Linked DNA regions of Nothobranchius furzeri. Each later gene encodes a partner of the first gene's protein in a complex. Links are inferred from orthologs where the notes say so. Each region holds a gene or a part of one and is shown in the gene's direction. Other genes may lie near its edges.

Region 1 (10,571 bases):
CTTTTCAACAACATTTTGATGGATATTTCCAGAGATTCATGGTAAAAACTACTCATTGTCTCTTTTGCAACTGCAGTCTATGGCTGTGTCCAAATTCAGGGGTCGCGTGCTCATGAGGTCATAATTTAAGACCAGTGACGTCACAGCGCCGCGACAAAGACTGTCAAAATTCAAAGAGTGCTCAGAACAGGGGTGGGCCTATTATTAAAGGCTAGACTGTCCAAATTCACAGTTGTTAACATCTGGCCTTAACAGTCCCAGAAGAATGTGTGTGTGTGTGTGTGTGTGTGTGTGTGTGTGTGCGTGTGTGTGGGTGTGTGTGTGCGCGCGCGTGTGTGTGTGTGTGTGTGTGTGTGTGTGTGTGTGTGTGTGTCCCTCCACACAGATGCACTCTTGTGTCTGGCTTCCTCACCATAGCTTGGACAGGAGATAGACTGGGGCAGGATGTTTGGGAAGACTTTTTTATAGCAGCTTGCATGATATTGCACAACATAACTGCAACAGTGGCCCCCTTGTTGTTGCTTTACACAACCGGTTAGTTGAACAATGTTTTTTTGTAATGTCTCTCTCAGGTGTACGAGTTTGCTGTAAAAGAGGTTCTGATTCATCGCGTCCCTTTGGAAGATGGAGGCATCTCGCCACAAAAGAAGAAAAGAAAACACAGGCAAGATCCTGACTTTTATCACCCAGCATGGAAACGGTAGAAACGATGTGTTTGCTTGAGCTTGTGAGTGAACCACTGGACAGATCCCAGCCTGGAGTCATTTGATGCTCATCCACTACTCACTGACCTTTGGAGCCAACTTGAATTTCCATTCCAGCCAAGTGGGCTTAGTAAACACCAAACAGGCTGTTGGATTATTTGTGTGATATAATCTGACCTGGGTTACTCTGCTCCAGAGATCATACACATCATTTAACCAAAAATTTAAAAACTGTCATTTGTCAACAAATCAAAAATATAAGCTAGCTCTCTTCAGTGGATGAGGCTAGGCTGTTTGATATATATATATATATATATATATATATATATATATATATATATATATATATATATATATATATATATATATATATATATAGGTCCTTCAAAAATTTTTTGCATATTGTGATAAAGTTCAGTATTTTCTGTAATGTACTGATAAACATTAGACTTTCATATATATTAGATTCATTACACACAGCTGAAGTAGTTCAAGCCTTTTATTGTTTCTAATATTGATGATTTTGGCGTACAGCTCATAAAAACCCAAAATTCCTATCTCAAAAAATTAGCATATTTCATCTGACCAATAAAAGAAAAGTGTTTTTAATACATAAAAGTCGACCTTCTAATAATTATGTTCAGTTATGCACTCAATACTTGGTCAGGAATCCTTTTGCAGAAGTGACTGCTTCAATGCGGCGTGGCATGGAGGCAATCAGCCTGTGGCTCTGCTGAGGTGTTATGGAGGCCCAGGATGCTTCGATAGCGGCCTTAAGCTCATCCAGAGTGTTGGGTCTTGCGTCTCTCAACTTTCTCTTCACAATATCCCACAGATTCTCCATGGGGTTCAGGTCAGGAGAGTTGGCAGGCCAACTGAGCACAGTAATACCATGGTAAATAAACCATTTACCAGTGGTTTTGGCACTGTGAGCAGGTGCCAGGTCGTGCTGAAAAGTGAAATCTTCATCTCCATAAAGCTTTTCAGCAGATGGAAGCATGAAGTGCTTCAAAATCTCCTGATAGCTAGCTGCATTGGCCCTGCCCTTGATAAAACACAGTGGACCAACACCAGCAGCTGACATGGCACCCAGACCATCACTGACTGTGGGTACTTGACACTGGACTTCAGGCATTTTGGCATTTCCCTCTGCCCAGTCTTCCTCCAGACTCTGGCACCTTGATTTCCGAATGACATGCAAAATTTGCTTTCATCTGAAAAAAGTACTTTGGACCACTGAGCAACAGTCCAGTGCTGCTTCTCTGTAGCCCAGGTCAGGCACTTCTGCCGCTGTTTCTGGTTCAAAAGTGGCTTGACCTGGGGAATGCAGCACCTGTAGCCCATTTCCTGCACACGCCTGTACACGGTGGCTCTGGATGTTTCTACTCCAGACTCAATCCACTGCTTCCACAGGCCCACCTCTTCTCGTTGTGCAGCGTTTTCTGCCACTCTTTTTCCTTCCCACAGACTTCCCACTGAGGTGCCTTGATACAGCACTCTGGGAACAGCCTATTTATTCAGAAATTTCTTTCTGTGTCTTTGGCCTAGTCCACACGTAGCTGGGTTTTTTTAAAAACGAATATCAGCCCCTCCAAAAACTTGCATCCACACCACCTCGTTTAAAAAAAAAACTGTCCACACGTACCCGGATAAATACGTTGTTAAGGACATGCCAGACCTGTAGGCGGCAGTACTTCCCCCGTTCTTAACCTCGTCCTTCGTCTGTGGTCTTCCGCAAGGAGCAGTAATTCCACTTGCAAAAACAAACAAGCAAAAAGCGCTTGGACAATTGATAAAGCGAGCGTAGCTCTGAGGGCATCCATGCTGTCGGCTAGTGTAAACACAGGTCGCACACGTGATGTCAGCATTTTTTTGTCGCGGAAAGTGACGTTGCGGACCTTACAACTCCGGTTTTGTTTGTCCACACGCAGACACCCAAAACGGAGAAAACGCAGATCTTCACTTTGGCCGGAGTTTTTAAAAAGATCCGTTTTTGTGTGAAAAAACTCCGTTTTCATGTGGATGACAGGCCAAAACGTAGAAAAATATCTACGTTTTGGCAGATCCCCGGCTACGTGTGGACAGGGCCTTACCCTCTTGCTTGAGGGTGTCAATGATGCCCTTCTGGACAGCAGTCAGGTCGGCAGTCTTACCCATAATTGCGGTTTTGAGTAATGAACCAGGCTGGGAGTTTTTAAAAGCCTCGGGAATCTTTTGCAGGTGTTTAGAGTTAATTAGTTGATTCAGATGATTATGTTAATAGCTCGTTTAGAGAACCTTTTCATGATATGCCAATTTTTTGAGATAGGAATTTTGGGTTTTCATGAGCAGTATGCCAAAATCATCAATATTAGAAACAATAAAAGGCTTGAAATATATGAAAATCTAATGTTTATCAGTACATTACAGAAAATAATGAACTTTATCACAATATGCTGTTTTTTTGAAGGACCTTTATATATATATATATATATATATATATATATATATATATATACATATATATATATATATATATATATATATATATATATATATATATAGTTTGTTTTGTTTTGTTTTTGTTTCTTGTAGAACTGTTTCCTAATAATTGACAAGAATTTAGCATCTCTGCAGACATCTGGAGAGGCTCTAATTAAGTAAACATGTGTATTTTTCCTTGTTTACCGTTTCAGATTGTGGGCAAAGATCCAGCTAAAAAAAGGTATTATACAAAAATCACAGCTGCCAACTGGCACACACATTACAGCTCACAGTCTTGTTTTGGGGGGTTTTGTCCTTTGTTGCTCCAGATAACTCGTCCAATCAGGTGTACAACTATCAGCCATGTGACCACCCTGACCACCCGTGTGACAGCTCCTGCCCGTGTGTGATGACCCAGAATTTTTGTGAGAAGTTCTGTCAGTGTGAGCACGAGTGTGAGTGTCACCTTTCTCTCCAGCTCCTTGTGAAATCAGGTTGTCTCACATCAACTGTTTTCTTTCTGGGTCGTTGTGACATTTATTTTATTCCCTGAAAGCCGTTTAAAAGACCTCTTTACTGGGTCGGCGTGGATCAGAGCTGCAGGCTGGAATGTGTTTCTGCAGCAGAATAGAAGCTGTCATCTCGTGGGCATAGGTGTTTATCACAGAGCTGCACCTGAAACGAGACACATCTTCTGCGGCAAAATAGTGTTTTCTGAAATGGCCACATGGTGGAAGGAACTTGTTGTTTTTTTATTTAGCTCTCTGGAAAGATATCAGTCCAGACAAAGCAGAACATGAAGTAAACATGTGGCTGAAAGAAGGTTTTAGGCTCAAATTTTCTTCATGTTGTGGTTCGGTCACCTACTCCCCTCCTCCATCTCCTCATTATTACCACACCTTTTCCCGTAGCAGAGGAGCGCCCGGGCCAAACAGGAAGCTGTGCTCATTTCCACATGTGTGCGCTTTAAAGGCTTGGAGAGAAATCAAAGAGATGTCACAAGCTCTGTGGCAGAAATGCAGCATCATCAGTATGAGTCAAACTGCTCCAGCGGAACAAAGCTCGACAAGACAGACACGAAACCCACAGAGGCTAGGAGGAGTTGGGATTTAAAGGAACCACGGAGCTGTCTGGACTTCTTGTTATGGACAATTTCCTTTTACGTAGAAGCTTCTGGGAAGAGATTTCGGATCACTTTTGCTTAAGCTTTGGCTTCATCTGCCCAGAGGGTGTTATGTTACAGTTTTCAAAATTGCATTTGGGCATATCTGCCAGCAGAGGTCTCATGACTGATGAGTCCATCAGCGTAGCCCACCCACTTACCGTCGCTCACATGCTGCAGCTGCTAGATTCAGACGTTCCAGCTGTTATGTTTTATTTTACAGTGTACATTTAAACTTTGTACTTCCTGTCTGTGAACTGGTTTTCAGGCCAGAACCGCTTCCCAGGCTGCAGATGCAAGACTCAGTGCAACACAAAGCAGTGTCCGTGCTACCTGGCCGTGAGAGAGTGCGACCCCGACCTGTGCATGACCTGCGGAGCTGCAGACCACTGGGACAGCAAAGTGGTTTCCTGTAAGAACTGCAGCATCCAGAGAGGCCTAAAAAAGGTTAGTCTGAACATTCCTCGATCTGATATGGTGAGAGTGTGGAAGGTGGGAGCTGGTGGGAAACAATCTGATTTATCTTCTAGCACTTGTTGCTGGCTCCATCAGATGTAGCAGGGTGGGGAACATTCATCAAAGAGCCTGTTCAGAAGAATGAATTCATCTCTGAATACTGTGGAGAGGCATGTTCACTTTGACCTTTATTCAAATGGGTCACAGAGCTTGTGCAAAGTTAATTCTTCTCTTCTTTTTTTTCTGAGCAGCTGATCTCTCAGGATGAAGCAGACCGACGTGGAAGGATCTACGACAAATACATGTCCAGCTTCCTTTTCAACTTAAACAATGGTAAGTTTGTGTTTCTATAGCTTTCCACAGGCAAACAGGTTCAGCGTGTTGACAGAATCCCGTTGTGTCCCTTTAGATTTTGTTGTGGACGCCACTCGAAAGGGTAACAAAATCCGTTTTGCGAACCATTCTGTGAATCCCAACTGCTACGCTAAAGGTGACTTGGTTTGATTTGGATTCAGCGTTTTCCAAAGAGTTGTGTGAGCTGATGTTTTGTTTATTACTGTCCCAGTCGTGATGGTTAACGGAGACCACCGGATTGGAATATTCGCCAAACGAGCTATCCTGCAAGGAGAAGAGCTCTTCTTTGACTACAGGTAGAGTCACGGGCCTTTTTGTGACTCTCCATCAGCTTACAAGTAAATTTTAAAAAAAGGAAAACAAAGCCACTACATATTGTTTATTTAGTGGCTTTTAGTTGTGTATTTTACTAATTTTCTCCTTAATGTTCCTCCCCCACAGATACAGCCAAGCCGATGCCCTCAAGTACGTCGGAATCGAGAGGGAGGTGGACTTGTCTTAGCTTTGCTGCTGTACTTACAACCTGGCTTTTGTTCCTCATCTCTGTCATTATGCAAGCTTTTACTGCATTCATCATGCTGATCAGTGAAATGCATATGCTGTCTTTGGACACGGATATCAGTTTCATGCGTTAGCTGCCGCAGTAGCTTCAGTCAGACGCTCCTCTCATGCACCCGGCATTCTAGATGATGTTGCACCCTGATTGGTCTTCAGAAAAAAGCGTGTCCAGGTTTGACAGCTTGGTTTGTTTCTCAATGAATATGTACAGCAGCTAGCATCACAACCACATCTATGTGGGTTTAAAAAAAATGTGCATTTACGTCAGCGTTTTGCAAAAATTATCAAAAAATTACAGGTAACCCGATGAGAAACCGACTGACTGAATGTAACGTGTTGATGACTCATTGTTTTTTTTTTTGTTTTTTTTTTTTACATTATTGGTACTTAAAGAAATGTGTATATCTGAAATATTTAGCATCATGTGAATATTATCACACATTACCAGGCAAATTAATGGTAAATAAATTAGTCTCAGATTAATTGTCTTCCTTTAAAATCGAATTAAAAAGTGCCAAATAATTCCTCACGTATATGCTAAATAAACTTGCATGTGAAATGTAGCTTGGTTTCCATGTCAAGGTTATAACAATAGTGATGTATGATTATGAGTGTTTGACCAAATATGGGCGTCGCATCATGTGAAACATTCATTTATCATGTCTATAATTTCAGACCCACATTATTGTCCACACTGTTGTTCAGTTATAAAACAAATGGCTCACTACCTTCAAAATAAAAGTTCTCATGGAGCTGAACACAATGAAGTTTATTGCTGTGTACAGTGTATGCTCATAAAAATAAAGGTTTAACTTTATATGATATTAATGCTGTCTGTGTTCTTATGTGCTGGATGGAGCCAAAGCGTGAGGATAGTCTTTACATCCATGCATACTCCTGAAGTATTTACTGCTATTTATGGAGATTATCTTAGGCTGTTACATACAGGGTATCCGCCGGTCCTTAAAAAGTCTTAAAAAGTCTTAAATTTGCTTTTCCAAATTTAAGGCCTTAAAAATCCTTAAAAATTACAAATAATCCTTAAATACGGTTTCCAAAGATCTTAAATTACCAAAGACCCAATAAACAAGATATTTTTATTTCTATAAAATTTTTGTGAATTTCTAGTTAGTGTTCAGCATTTTTTGTGTATGATGTTGGCGTAAGCGGAACTGTACACATTCAGTTGATTGTGAAAGGGGGCTGTTTTTAGATGAGCACATTAGCTGGTTAAGCTAGTGGGAGCTTGCATCATGGGGAAGTGCAAGTTTAATGGTAACTGGATGGCTAATCCCACATTTGCAACATGGTTAGCACCTGTTCCAGGCATTAGCTGGAAATTATAGCTTAAATGAAATTTTAAAAAATTGCTTACATTTCGTCAAAGTGGCCTTAAAAAGGTCTTAAAAGTCTTAAATTTGGCTCCCTTAAACCTGCAGATACCCTGTACATAAATTATAGTGAAAACACACTATAATCTTAAGTTTATTTCTGGTTATTTTACCTCAAACTTGCCTTACGACCCCAACTGCGGAACCAGTACATCACCTCCAAACACAACACCTGCTTCCTTCAAGCGTCTTTTAATTCAGATGACGGTTTAGATTTGAGTTGATTTACACAGTAATGGTCATTTACAGTGAAATTATTACAAAACCGACAGAAAAATAAGATCTGAATATGTTCAGAAACAAAACTCTGCTTGCTTGTATTGTCTGGTGATGCTGAGACTAATTCTGCTGCTCCCTCTGGTGACCTATGACCTCTGTCAATGCTGAAAGAGTAAAAGTTCACTTATTGTTTACTACTTTAATATTTGTAAAACAGAACAAATAAGCCCAAAGTATAATGAAAGTTTTGTGTTTAATCTTACACATACTGTATGTTGTTCAGTTAAACGTAAGTGCAGGAAGCCTCAAGTAGCAGACACCCTGTCAGAGCAAACTTCTTGCTGGCTAGCCACGTCTCACTCTACTAGTGTCGGTGCACCACAATACCACTGAAGAACTGGCCTCAACTGCACTTTTAACATCTTATGGTTGCATGTTGATGAGGAAACAATAAAACACACAAACATTGGGAAGTCCAGTCACACAAACTCCAGGGACCACAATTATCATGAGAGGCATAAATAATGGGACACTGCTGTGCTGAAAAATCATAAGAAAGATCCAGTGAGATGAGTTCATATCATAAGCACGTGATTTTCTTTGCTAAGTGGCAGCAAATCAAGTTTGTTGAATTTTTTTGAAAACATAGAACATTCTGTGCTATACACACAAAACAGTGATTTCTTTCTGTTTGCTCCATATTAGACTTTCATTCATCACATTTCCAAAAATATGTCCTGAAAATGCAAGTTTTGAAATCTCTACAGGTTCATACATTATTAGCAACTTTGTGTTTTTACAGTTTCTGTACATCCTCTCACTGAACCATTTTACACAGTCCTGCCCATCTGTAATGGAGGGAAACCAACCATGTTCTGGAGGTGGTTAGGTCTACAGAGAGCAGGTGCTGCGCTTCCTTTAACCTGAGCGATCTAAAAAGCTTTTCTTTCATCGAGAACAAAAACATCGGCAGGTCTGCTCAGACGGAGTCAGAGTTTACATTCAAAGCAAGTGTAAAAACCCTAAACATCAAAAGTCTTTCAACACGTTATTCACGGTATCACCTCCTGTATGCAAATGAAGAGAGAGACATTCACAGTTAGTGACTGGAAGAAGCTCATTAAAGCTTATTGCATGTTTCTGCTAAGTGCGGTCATGCTCTACGTATGCATAGCTAACATGTCGCAAATGTATTTCTTCGTCAGCAGTTTGTCTCACACACACACACACACACACACACACACACACACACACACACACACACACACACAACAGGTCTTTAGTGTTAAGTAGAGCTGCAGCGATTGATAGCTCGAGGCTTTGGTTGCTACACACACTAAAGGACATTTTGTGTCACCAGTGACAGAAATCTTATACAATGTGTTTAATATTATTTTTTCTCTGTAAGCAGCTAGCTCACCAAGCAGCAGCAGCAGCAATGATAATGTGGTCAGCTGCAGTGTTGAGCAACATTATTCTAGCAGTGTCAGAAGTAAGAATTTACATTATTGTGGTCCACTGTACAAATGTTGTTCTTGTTGTGTGTGTGTTCATATGTTTGCTTTCCATATGGCCATAAGGAGCAGCTGTTCCCTGATATCTGTCCCACAAGGAAGATGAAAGGATTGTGGAAGGACAGATTTTTTAAAATTATTTTGTCATTGGATATTTGCTGAGTCAAACACTCTGTAGCACCAAGCCGGTGGCAGCTTGACTGTAAAATTAGAGTATTTACTTCCCTTGAAGAACCTGTTAAGACGGTCTTCAACTCCCACATCTGGCAGAGCTTTGTCCACATCCTGAGAGCAGTGGGGGACATTGACTCTGAGTGGGCCTTGTTCCACTCTGCGATTGTTGAGGCGGCTGTCGCTAGCTGTGGTCGCAAGGTGGCCGGTGCCAGTCGTGGTGGCAACCCCCATACCGACTGGTGGACACCAGAGGTTCGGGGAGCCGTCAGGCTGAAGAAGGATACCTACAGGGCGTGGCTGGTCTGTGGGTCTCCGGAGGCAGCAGACAGGTACCGGATAGCCAAGCGGGTTGAAGCAGTGGCAGTTGCCGAGGCAAAATCTCGGGCGTGGGAGGAGTTTGGTGAGGCCATGGAGAAAGACTATCGATCGGCTCCAAAGAGGTTCTGGCAAACTGTCCGGTGTCTCAGGAGAGGAAGGCAGCAACTCGCTCACACTGTTTACAGTGGGGATGGGGAGCTGCTGACGTCAACTGGGGCTATAGTTGGATGGTGGAAGCAATACTTTGAGGAGCTCCTCAATCCCACCTATGTGCATTCCGAGGAGGAACCAGAGCCAGGAGGCCTGGGGATGGACTGTCCAATCTCGGGGGCAGAAGTTACTGAGGTAGTAAAACAACTACACAGCGGCGGAGCCCCGGGGGCGGATGAGATTGGCCCTGGGTATCTCAAGGCTGTGGATGTGGTAGGGCTGTCGTGGTTGACACGTCCCTGCAACATTGCGTGGTCATCGGGGGCAGTTCCTGTGGAGTGGCAGACCGGGGTGGTGGTCCCCATCTTTAAGAAGGGTGACCTGAGGGTGTGTTCCAACTATAGGGAGATCACACTCCTCAGCTTCCCTGGAAAGGTCTACTCCAAGGTACTGGAGAGGAGGGTCTGATCGATAGTTGAATCTCAGATTGAGGAGGAGCAATGTGGTTTTCGTCCTGACCGTGGAACTGTGGACCAGCTCTATACCCTTGCAAGGGTGATGGAGGGGGCATGGGAGTTTGCCCAACCAATCCACATGTGTTTTGAGGATTTGGAGAAGGCTTATGACCATGTCCCCAGGGGCACCCTGTGGGGGACGCTCCAGGAGTGTGGGGTGGGTGGCTTTCTGCTAAGGGCCATTCAGTCCCTTTACCAGAGGAGCGTGAGTTTGGTCCGCATAGCCGGTAGTAAGTCAGACCTGTTCCCGGTGAGGGTTGGACTCCGCCAGGGCTGCCCTTTGTCACCGGTTCTGTTCATAACCTTTATGGACAGAATTTCTAGGCGCAGCCGTGGTGTGGAGTGTGTCAATTTTGGTGGCAGGAGAATCTCGTCTCTGCTTTTTGCAGATGATGTGGTCCTCCTAGATTCATCCAGCTCTGACCTTCAGCTCTTGCTGGGTAGATTTGTGGCCGAGTGTGAAGCGGCTGGGATGAGGATCAGCACCTCCAAATCTGAGACCATGGTTCTTGACCGGAAAAGGGTGGCTTGCCAACTCCGGGTCGGGAGAGAGGTCCTACCTCAAGTGTAGGAGTTTAAGTATCTCGGGGTCT
Region 2 (10,820 bases), on another chromosome or scaffold:
GTCCCGGTGGTCTGTGGCTCTCTGCCCGACGTCTACGTGGAGAAGCTCCTGGGCTTCGTGGCCGATTGTCTGGAGAAGTCAGGTCACCTGCAGTTCTACATGACCTGGGCCCAGAACCTGCTGATGCTGCACGGACAGAAACTAAAGAACAGGTCGACACGGCTGCCTCGACTCGCATCATCATTATCATCATCAGTGTCTTAACTGGATCTCTTATGGTCCGCAGGTCTGGCTCGGTTCTGCCCACGCTGCAGGCGCTTCAGAAGAGCATCCAGAGACACTTTGACAACCTGTCAAAGCTGTACGTCTCAACACTGTTGCTCCATTAATCATCATAACTAAAATGAAGCATTAAGTCATTAAATATATATATTTATATATATTTTTTTTCCACAGCTGCAACTTCAACATGTACAACATCCGTTACGCTGTGGCGCTTTCAAAGCAGAAGTGTGTAAAGAGGCCTGCCGAGGAGGAGGAGAAAGAAGAGCAGGATGAAGGGTTGTCGGAGGAGATGAGCGAAGCCTCTTTAGATGACTCAGAGATGATCTTGTAGTCTGATTACTAAAAATGTCTCAGATTGACAGATGTTCAACTGTAAAAGTCCATTTTTCCATACTTTAAATATTAAAATAGCCTGTTTTTATAATAAATTCAGTAAAAGTGTCTTTCTTGTTTTTGGCTTTTTTCTGGTAAATTTATTCATTTGAGAGGCTGCTACGGGTTAATCTTTCAATTTGGCACGCAAAAAATATTTTTGGAGTTATTTCTTACTTATATTAGAAATTTACACTTAAAGACTGAATTGCCATTTGTGGTTAAAACTAGCTTTGCTGGGCAGTATTAAGTCAAAAGAAGTATTTCTAGAAATATAAAAGAACAAATCTAAAATATTATTTTTATTTAATACTAACAAAGGTAAATAGTACGACATTTTCAAGGAAAAAATACATTTTTACAGCTGAAGAATGTGGAAATATTGCCTTGAAATGTCCCAAGTTACTGTGTTAGACATTTAAATGTACAATTTAAGAGCAGAATGTATTCTTTTTAACAAATAGGTTGTTTAGGGAGTTAAAAAAAACACGGGATTTACTATTTTTAAACCGATCTGAATCCTGTCCAAAGTGAAATAAAGCAGAAAACTCAAAAAGTGGAAGCTTCTCCGTCAGTAACTAAACGTGACCAACAGGGGGTGACAGAGCGCCTTCTGAAAGTTCACCTTGCCTTAAATTAGATTGAAGAAGAAGGAACAGCGGGCGGGTTAGCCTTCGGAGCTAAAATGAGAGACAAGAGCCTGTCTGAAGCGGGAAAAGAATTACCGGCCAAAAAACAAAAACTAAGCAGTGACGAGAACAGCAACCCCGATTTGTCAGGAGACGAGAACGTAAGAGCTCTATAAACATTTCTGCAACTACAAGTGAACGTTTTAGCCGGTTAGCTCAGCGCTAAAGCAAGAAGCCGGAAAGCTAAAGAGCTTAGCTAGCTGGCATCTTTGTTCACCTGCAGCTGTGGTTCTGATGGTGGTAATGGCTCTAAATCAGTCTATGTGACCCACAGAAGCATGGGCTTTTATATTTAACCTCAAAAAGCCTGGCTTGTTCGATTTAGCTTCAGCAGGAGTGATTTAGAAGCTTGTATTTATTTACAAATTCCTAAAATAAGTGTTCAAATGCAGTTTATAATGTTTATTTTTCATTTTGAGGAAAGGAAAAACTTGCTGGTAGTCTGTTTTTCATGTTAAAAGTGCTTCAAACATTTGTTTCACTTATTTCTGTCCAAATAAAGCCTAGGTTTACTGGTACTTGTCCAATAAAATGAATGTGGTTAGGTTGGGTGTTTTGTTTTGGACATCTTGTCTTTCAGTAACCGCATCTCTGGTTTACAGGATGATGCGGTCAGTGTTGAAAGTGGGACCAACACTGAGCGTCCAGACACCCCCACCAACACCGCCAATGCCCCAGGCAGGAAGAGCTGGGGCAAGGGCAAGTGGAAGTCCAAGAAGTGCAGATATTCTTTTAAATGTGTTAACAGTTTAAGAGTGAGAATGTCTGCTGTTCTAAATACATTCAAATATCATCATTTACAGAATTTAGTTTACAGGTGAAGTGGGAGTGAAACTTTGTGGATATTTTTCAGGAGGACCATGGCCAGCCACTGTTTGGAGTCCAGTTTAACTGGCACAGTAAGGAAGGAGACCCACTGGTGTTCGCCACAGTCGGGAGTAACAGGGTAACCCCAAGCAGACAGATTTTATTTGGCTTTTTCTGGGTGTTTTCATGAATTTTTCTAGTTCAGAATCAATTTTCTGCTCATCAGTTCCATATCTTGCATGATAGAAAGATGGTGATGCCTTTCAAGCAATCAGACGTCCTTTTGTGTCTGATAAGCTGCTTCAAGTGTCCTTAATTTACTGTTACAGAAAATAAGAGATTTGACAAATTTTAAAGAATGATGATTATTCAGGACTTTTTTCATTAAAAATACACATTTCTTGTTGTGAAAAACATTTAGTTTTACATAAATGATATTTCTGATTTCTCTAACAGGTAACCTTGTATGAATGCCACTCTCAGGGAGAGATCCGACTGTTGCAGTCGTACGTTGATGCAGATGTATCCTTCCTGCTTTGGCTCAAACTAAACTTCACAAAAAGGAATCTGTTGTTCTTTAATTTAGATACAGATCAGTAAATGAAGATTTACAGATATGTTAACCCTTTAAGCGCCAAAGTCGCAGAATTGCGACAAGCAGCAATGTTGGATTTAATAAGCCACAGCAGCAGAAATGAGCCCTCATGCATGGGGAATGTGGTGGCGGTGATCGGGCCGTTGAAAACTCTGCTGGTGATCAATTCAGCCCCTGTCTATCAGCTATCCTCTATTATCTATCTATATCTATCATCTATCTAGCTATCATCTATCTAGCTATATAAATGTGTGTATAATAATAATGATTATGATGACAGTAAAAGATGTGTTCAGCAAAGGAGGTCAAGTTCACCTTATCCAGCTAACAGAGTTCAGATAAACATAACTTCACATGTTTTTGACGCATGACCAAAGCTTTCTTCCTGAGAGAGTGGGTGTGTCCTGTGAGTTTGGTAAAACTAACCATTATAGTAACCATGTGTGTGTGTGTGTGTGTGTATATATATATATAACAATTATAAACCAAATAAACTATAATTAAAGAAGGGATGAGTGAAATGTGTTCATGACACTGAAGCACCAAAAACAGTGTTCTTGATTGATACGCAGTAAACATAACAAAATACCAATAAAGTAATATGTGTATATATATGTATATATATATATATATATACACATACATAGTTATATACATATTCCTATGTACACATATATGTATCATAAACAATAACAACACTAAGAAAATAAGACAAACAAATCCGCAAATGTGATGCAATCCAATATGGCTGCTATCTGATGATGTCATAGTATGAAAATTGTGTGAGTGAATTTGTTCCTATCACAAAATTTGGCTCATACTGAAGATTTTTCTAATTTACAATATTCCTCTATCTCTAACCAGATTTAAGCTACAAGCTCTTTAAGTAGTGATATGAAAAACTTATATTTTACTGAAAAAACTATGGCGCCTAAAGGGTTAATCATCTTTTTCTCAACATCTATTTTGGAAAGACCCAAGAGTTGATCAGTAGCTGCAGAAATGTCAGAAACTTTTTGATTTCTGCGATTTTCTTGACTGAACGCGTTCCAAGGCAGATGAGAACTTCTACACGTGTGCTTGGACCTATGACACCAACACCAGCCACCCGCTGTTGGCTGTAGCCGGGTCCCGCGGCATCATTCGGGTCATCAATCACATCACAATGCAGTGCATCAAGGTAGTCTTCCTGTAGAGAACCTCTTTGAAAATGTGGCTTTGAGGGTCATTTAGTAGTGTGTTTGTTTCCCATCCAGCACTACGTGGGTCACGGGAACGCCATCAACGAGCTCAAGTTTCACCCAAGGGATCCGAATCTTCTCCTGTCTGTCAGCAAAGGTAAAGCCCCTGATGGTGATGGTCATCGACACGCCTCCAGATGCTCCTGGATCTTTTCCCTGACAGATTCAGTGTTTTTAGTAAAAGCTTACTTGTGTGAAAATGAATAAATGATGATTTGTAACATTTGAAATTTTCTTTAGATCACGCTCTTCGTCTGTGGAACATCCAGACGGATACACTGGTGGCCATATTTGGAGGTGTAGAAGGCCATCGAGACGAAGTCCTGAGCGCTGTAGGTGTTTCATTACATTTGATCACAATTTAAACTGTCAGATTTTAATCGGAACAGAAAACACGGTTTGCACTTTTTGTTGATGCTGATTTTGACTTATTTTTATTTTATTTTTTTAAAGTATTTTTGAGGTTTGTTTTATATAAAATGGGTCAGTATTCAGCCTCAGTTCAGAGAAGAGGGTTATTTCCTTTAGGATTGATGAGCTAACGGCTAGGTACACTAACAGTTTTTTTTAATGCGGTGCTTTTCAAAATAAAAGTCAGGCGCACCACAAGAACAATGAAACATTAAAAATTGATCAAACTAGGGCTGCATGATATTAGGAAAACCTGCGATATTCGATAACAGTGATTAATATTGCGATGACGATATTACTTGCGATAAATAAAAACTTAACTCAGGAATAAAAATAATCAAAAACAAAGAAACAAAAAACTGATAAAAATGAGAAAAGCAAAAGATGTGAGGAAAGGGAAAAAGAAAAGGGAATCCGTGGATCCCGGGAAAACCGGAATCAGCAAAAAGAGCAGAGCAAAGCTAAGTCAGGTGTTTGCTAACCAGCACAATTAAGTGCCGTCCGCCTCAGGGGCGGTCATCTGACCTATGAGAACCCACCCGATTGGCCAAATGGGTGCAGAGCTCTATTTGATGTGTTAAAAAAACATCATGCTTCCGTTTGACTGACAGAATAAATTGTGTAGAAAACATTTGAGCTGACCGTTCATTGCGATATTTATCTGTTCTTTGCGATATGCATATTGTGCATCATGATATCGCGATAACGATATATTTACGATATATTGTGCAGCCCTATATTAAACAATAATAAAGATCAAGCTAAAATTGCACTAAACACAAATCACAGCATTATTTCATAAACCTGTAGGCTGTAGTTGGTCTCAGCAGAAATATTACTACATTTCTGCCAGGTTTGACCTGGATTCCAGTCATTATTGTTATGTTTTCTTTTAAAATAAGACTTTCTGTTCAAAGTCGGTCTTAAAATGTCCATTTGAAATGTTTTTGGTGGACTTGCACAGTTTAGATTGTGCATAAATGACCTAAATATTATATGAACAAGATGTTTGCCCTGAAATGTGACGGCTAATGAAGACACCTGGAACCTGATTGATGGAAAAATAAAAAAATCAAGGTGCACTGAAGTGATTGTTAGTGATCCAAGATGGAGATTTTCTTCTGCTGGAGCTGAAAACCGTTTTTGTTAAATAGAGTTTTGTCTTTTGTTCATTTCGTAGGATCTGATGAATTTTACTTCCAGGAATTGTAACAAGAATCTCTTGTTTTCATGCGTCAGGATTTTGATCTGCTGGGTGAGAAGATCATGTCCTGTGGGATGGACCACTCGCTGAAGCTCTGGAGGATCGACTCCGAGCGAATGCAGAAAGCGATTCGCGGCTCATACGAGTACAACCCCTCGAAGACAAACAGGTGAGGGGGCCCTCCTGTGTTGTTGTTGGTGGCGTGTCGTTAAAATAGTCTCGATAATTAATTAAATAAATCAAATCACCTCTTCAGGCCGTTTGTCTCGCAGAAGATTCACTTCCCCGACTTTTCAACGCGAGACATCCACAGGAACTACGTGGACTGTGTTCGGTGGCTGGGAGATCTGATTCTCTCAAAGGCAAGAGGAATTAAGTTTAGTCTGCTGGTAACAGCCGATGTAGACTCCAAACTTGACGCTGGTTTTTCTTTCTGCAGTCCTGTGAAAACGCCATCGTCTGCTGGAAACCAGGGAAGATGGAGGACGACGTCGACCACATCAAACCCAATGAGTCAAACGTGACGATTCTGGGGCGGTTCGACTACAGCCAGTGTGACATTTGGTACATGAGGTTCTCCATGGACTTCTGGCAGAAGGTGGAGGAGCTTTTCGTCTGTTGGTGCGTCGGTATTAGTGGAGGATGTGTTTACTGGATGAGCGTGTGATCACACAGATGCTGGCTCTGGGGAACCAGGTGGGGAAGCTTTACGTTTGGGACCTGGAGGTGGAAGATCCTCACAAAGCAAAGTAAGTCTCCTTTTATCAGACGCGTTCCTCCGTTCACTCACGCTAAGGAGATTTACTTACACGCTGGTGTTTGATTTTGGATGAGTTAAGAGATGTTTTTCAGCTTTGAGAGTAACAGGAAGTTGGAGGTGTGACTGGTCTGGAGGCTTAAACGTGTCAAAAATTTTAAATGAAGTCTTTAAAACTAATTATCCAAAGTTCTTCAAACATTTCAGAGTTTCATTGATAATATAAAGTTTTAGTGACCCAATAATAAAGCAACACACCATCAAAAAGATCATCTGATGCTTGACGAGGACGGTTATTACTGGCGGACACCATGCTGATTCATGCGATGGAGGAAAGAGAATTAGGTCATCACAACTGGAACGTCAGCGACCTGAGATGATCAGTCTTTCATTCTAAATGGAATCTCCTTTTTCTGACCGGTTCTTCTAAAATAAATACGCTGTTGGAGTTGAGATATCTCAGCTGACGACAGCTGGGACCTGGATCGAGAACAGACCAACAGTTTAGGGTTATTAAAGGACATGGCTGCTTTTAAGAAGAGTCACAAACGTCCTGGAATCTCATACATGTAGAGATATGTATGTTCATGGAACCATCTGGTTTGTTGCTCTTCAGGTGCACCACGCTGACCTTCCCTAAATGCACCTCAGCCATCAGACAGACCAGCTTCAGCCGCGACAGCAGCATCCTCATCGCCGTGTGCGACGATGCATCCATCTGGCGTTGGGACCGGCAGCGCTGAGGATAGTGAACCAAGAGAAACGTGTTTCCTGTTGCTCCTGTTCCCTGACACATTGCAGGAAAAAAAAAACATTTGTCTTTTCTGTAAAAGATGCACCAAAGAAAGATTTTATCCAACAACAATGGATGTTTTAAAATAAAAAATACAATTATTGGTAATTTCCTTTGTGTGCCTTTTATAATTTATTTACAGGAAATAAAATAAGTCGAGGAACACAATTTGAATTCAAGTTTCTCAAAGAGGCAAAGCTATCAATTTTTTTTCTTGCACTGTGTCAAGCTTCATATTTTTACGTTTTTTCTTGTCTGTTTTACCGTCTCGTCTGCTTTTATTTTCCACACAAAACATAACTGCTTACATTTAGTGTTTTTGGCATCTTCCTTCTATGAGTTGTCAATAAAAGTTTTTTGTAAATGTGTAGGATTCAATTTTTATGGAAGCTCATTTTTACCACTTAGAAGAAAAAAGTCAATATCTCAAAGATCTGTTTAAATTAAAAATGTGTAGTGGGATAACGTGTAATTTTTGGATGCACAGGACCAGTTCGTGTGGGCCAGATGCTGAAAAATAAATTCATAAATCTGTCTTTTTAACTTTCACAAATAAGAGAAAGGTTTCACAAATCAAGCTATTTTTATGCATTCTGCTACAAGCCTAGAATAATCTAGAACAGGTTTGAAGAGTGTACGTGTTGTAGTATTTGAGCTAGAGCAGATTAAAAATGGTCAGAATAGAGAAAAATTGTGTGTATTAGCCATTTCCCGAATCGGAAGCTATCTAGCTTGTATGAAAACTAGTGATTGAAACCACTTACAAATTTCTGAAAATCTACGTTTTTTTAATTAAGAAAAAAGGGTATTAACGTTTCAGTCAAGTCAGTATTAGAATCGTGGTCTTTATACATGGACGTAATTTTCACTTTAGAAGTGTGTGTGTGTGTGTGTGTGTGTGTGTGGGGGGGGGGGGGTGTATCTTTACAGTATGTTCTAATAGGAAACAGGCTTCAACACAAATGGTTGTTTTCTGCTTGGTCCTAGAGCTCAACCAGTGTCAATTAAATATAGCGTAATATTGTTTTTGGATGGTGGAAAGTGCAGGGGTCAAAGCTTGACTTTGGAAAAAGTGGGGGGGACATGCCCACCCCCCCACCCCCCAAATTTACGTCCATGTCTTTATATCACATCTAAATTATGTATAAAGTTAATATTATTACTTTAACTGTTTTAACAAACGGAGACCAGAAAAATCAAATAGCTAAGTTAAAGCTAAGCTACAATTGCTGACTGCTTTATATATGTAGCTTTTGTGTTAGCTTGTGAACTCCCTGCATTAGTTTTAAGACTGCATGTTAATATTGATACAATTACAATTCTCTGGTGAAGCTTTAAATGCTATAGTGCCTACTTTTAAGAACTAAACGGTTACAACAATTAGTTAATTTCATCCTTACCTTTCCTCTTTGAAACTCGCCGAGTTTTGTTGAAACAAAAGCGGCCACCAAAAAAGACCAACTTCCGGCCGAGGTCTTTCGCTCGTCGATTTTCCGGTAAAAGTAATGACACGCCATCTTGTTCTCGCTAGAAAGTTCTTCCGGTGACACGCCGTCTGATGTCTGCAGCCAGGTTCTACTCATTTCTTTTGCACCCAGCTGCGAGTTAGAACCATCCACTCTCAAAAAATGTGTCCTAACCCTTACCCCAACCCTTATCCTAACCGTAACTCTGAATAAACATAAAAACTGTGCTACACATATTTTCAAAAACTATATTTATGCAAAACATACATTTCTGGTGCCGGGGTTAGGGTAAGGGTGAGGGTTATTTTTGTGATTGGGTCGTTTCCACTTGCTGCTGGGTGCAAAAGAAACAGATCTCGAGGGGTGAACACATCGACATTACACCGGCACCTCACGCGACCAACGTGTGCGCAGGGTTCAAATTACGAGTGAGCTGAAGGGAGCCTGGCTGACCCATAAAGGGTGACAGGCTCCCCCATAGATATGTATATAAACACGTGTTTATACACATATCTATGGGCTCCCCTGGAAGCCATCGACTTACACACCCAGGGGGAGCCTGAAAAATATCCTGGTTCTACTTATATTACATTATTTATGCAGACTCTCCGGGGATTATTTTGAGCTGAGAGGCGCAGAGCCGGCGCACTGCGCGCACTCTGCTATTTTTATGGTTGGTAGATCGCTGAGGTGAAAACATGAAGCCAGGTAGCAGTTTTTCTTTGGGATTGAGAGGAGATGCAGGAAGATGATAGACAGGACAGAAAAATAGTCAAATAAAAAACAAAACAGTGTTTGAAAAGGTTCATTTAGGTAGATTTATCCCACTACACGTTTTTACTTTCTAAGGCAATAATTTATAAGTACGTAATACCCTACCCTCGTAAGACCATTAGGCATTTCGAGGGCCATGGCAAGAATAAAGCCACTTTCAGTGCGTCTTTGTGAAATATTGGTTTAATTTTTTTCTCTCGGATGGTCCTGCTGAGAGACAGCTGCTTTCTTTTTTCTTAATCCGGTGGACGTTCAGTGTTTTGCTGAGACAGCTTATGTGCTGCCGTTTTGGGCGCTATTTGTACCTGGTGTTTGCAACAAACAGACACCACCGAGGGTGGTCATTACACAGAGTGAGGATGTCATGACTCCCAATCTTTCAGCCTTCATGCAGCACACCTGGTCCCCTCATCAAGCTCCAGCCAAGCCCTGTTTCCCTAGCAACCTCAGCCTGCACCTCATCTACTCCATTCATCTCACCTGTTCCTCCTGCTTTATAAGAACCATCCAGCTATCCAGTCACTGCCAGATTATTGAACGCCATTTGCTAGTAAATCTTCCAGCCATTCACCCTGCCTCGTCTCAGTCTCCGGACCTCGTTTTCTCGCCTGACCCCTGCCTTGTACTCTGCCTCCCATCACGACCCTCACCTGTCCTCTACCTCGTCTCCAGCCTGTTCCCTGTACCTGCTTGTCCGATCTGGTTTTGCACCTCACCTCCTCTCCGACTCTGTCTCCTGCCTCGCCCTCTACGGTAACGCCATATCTAATAAAGACTTGTAAGGAACTTTACTGTGTTTGGCGTCACTACTGGTCTTCTGAGTTCTGTTCGTGACAGAGGAACAGAAAATTAAATTATTCTTTCAATGTTTAGAGCACCAGGGAACTCAGAGGCTGCATGCACACTAGGGAGTTTGCGGCCACTGCGACACACTCCACACCACGGCAGCGCCTAGAAATTCTGTCCATAAAGGTAATGAACAGAACCGGTGACAAAGGGCAGCCCTGGCGGAGTCCAACCCTCACCGGGAACAGGTCCGACTTACTACCGGCTATGCGGACCAAACTCACGCTCCTCTGGTAAAGGGACTGAATGGCCCTTAACAGAAAGCCACCCACCCCATACTCCTGGAGTGTCCCCCACAGGGTGCCCCTGGGGATACGGTCATAAGCCTTCTCCAAATCCACAAAACACATGTGGAATGGTTGGGCAAACTCCCATGCCCCCTCCATCGCCCTTGCAAGGGTATAGAGCTGGTCCACAGTTCCACGGCCAGGACGAAAACCACATTGTTCCTCCTCAATCAGAGATTCAACTATCGATCGGACCCTCCTCTCCAGTACCTTGGAGTAGACCTTTCCAGGGAGGCTGAGGAGTGTGATCCCCCTATAGTTGGAACACACCCTCAGGTCACCCTTCTTAAAGATGGGGACCACCACCCCGGTCTGCCACTCCACAGGAACTTCCCCCGATGACCACGCAATGT

Evidence for each region.
Region 2: the proteins of ezh1 (region 1) and eed are in contact, whole or in part, in a cryo-EM structure (PDB 7KTP), measured with the Homo sapiens proteins. The link is inferred for Nothobranchius furzeri from reciprocal best matches to the Homo sapiens genes EZH1 and EED. Residues at the interface, in NP_001982.2 of Homo sapiens: Gly37, Ala38, Lys39, Leu41, Tyr42, Val43, Asn45, Phe46, Lys48, Val49, Gln50, Lys52, Thr53, Gln54, Leu56, Asn57, Glu59, Trp60, Leu63, Arg64, Val65, Gln66, Pro67, Val68, Gln69, Ser70, Met71, Cys83, Thr84, Ile85; in NP_003788.2 of Homo sapiens: Cys84, Val85, Asn86, Ser87, Leu88, Lys89, Glu90, Asp91, Trp103, His104, Ser105, Lys106, Glu107, Val112, Arg120, Leu123, Tyr124, Gln129, Gly130, Glu131, Ile132, Arg133, Leu134, Leu135, Gln136, Ser137, Tyr138, Val139, Asp140, Tyr154.

The regions. Positions count from the first base shown.
Region 1 is NC_091745.1:7,466,951-7,477,521, forward strand, and holds the end of ezh1 (histone-lysine N-methyltransferase EZH1), read left to right. Parts: intron 1-572; coding exon 573-664; intron 665-3,379; coding exon 3,380-3,408; intron 3,409-3,496; coding exon 3,497-3,622; intron 3,623-4,597; coding exon 4,598-4,776; intron 4,777-4,859; coding exon 4,860-4,955; intron 4,956-5,036; coding exon 5,037-5,118; intron 5,119-5,194; coding exon 5,195-5,275; intron 5,276-5,350; coding exon 5,351-5,435; coding exon of another isoform or gene 5,436-5,439; exon of another isoform or gene 5,440-5,477; intron 5,478-5,580; coding exon 5,581-5,641; 3' UTR 5,642-6,521; downstream 6,522-10,571.
Region 2 is NC_091743.1:86,053,570-86,064,389, forward strand, and holds eed (polycomb protein eed), read left to right. Parts: upstream 1-1,213; 5' UTR 1,214-1,282; coding exon 1,283-1,387; intron 1,388-1,888; coding exon 1,889-2,041; intron 2,042-2,139; coding exon 2,140-2,232; intron 2,233-2,549; coding exon 2,550-2,615; intron 2,616-3,742; coding exon 3,743-3,868; intron 3,869-3,944; coding exon 3,945-4,026; intron 4,027-4,169; coding exon 4,170-4,261; intron 4,262-5,579; coding exon 5,580-5,713; intron 5,714-5,800; coding exon 5,801-5,906; intron 5,907-5,983; coding exon 5,984-6,142; intron 6,143-6,219; coding exon 6,220-6,293; intron 6,294-6,917; coding exon 6,918-7,044; 3' UTR 7,045-7,462; downstream 7,463-10,820. Other genes in the region: pwp2h (PWP2 small subunit processome component), read left to right, coding at 2-152, 227-301, 397-556. UniProt on the Homo sapiens protein: Polycomb group (PcG) protein. Component of the PRC2/EED-EZH2 complex, which methylates 'Lys-9' and 'Lys-27' of histone H3, leading to transcriptional repression of the affected target gene.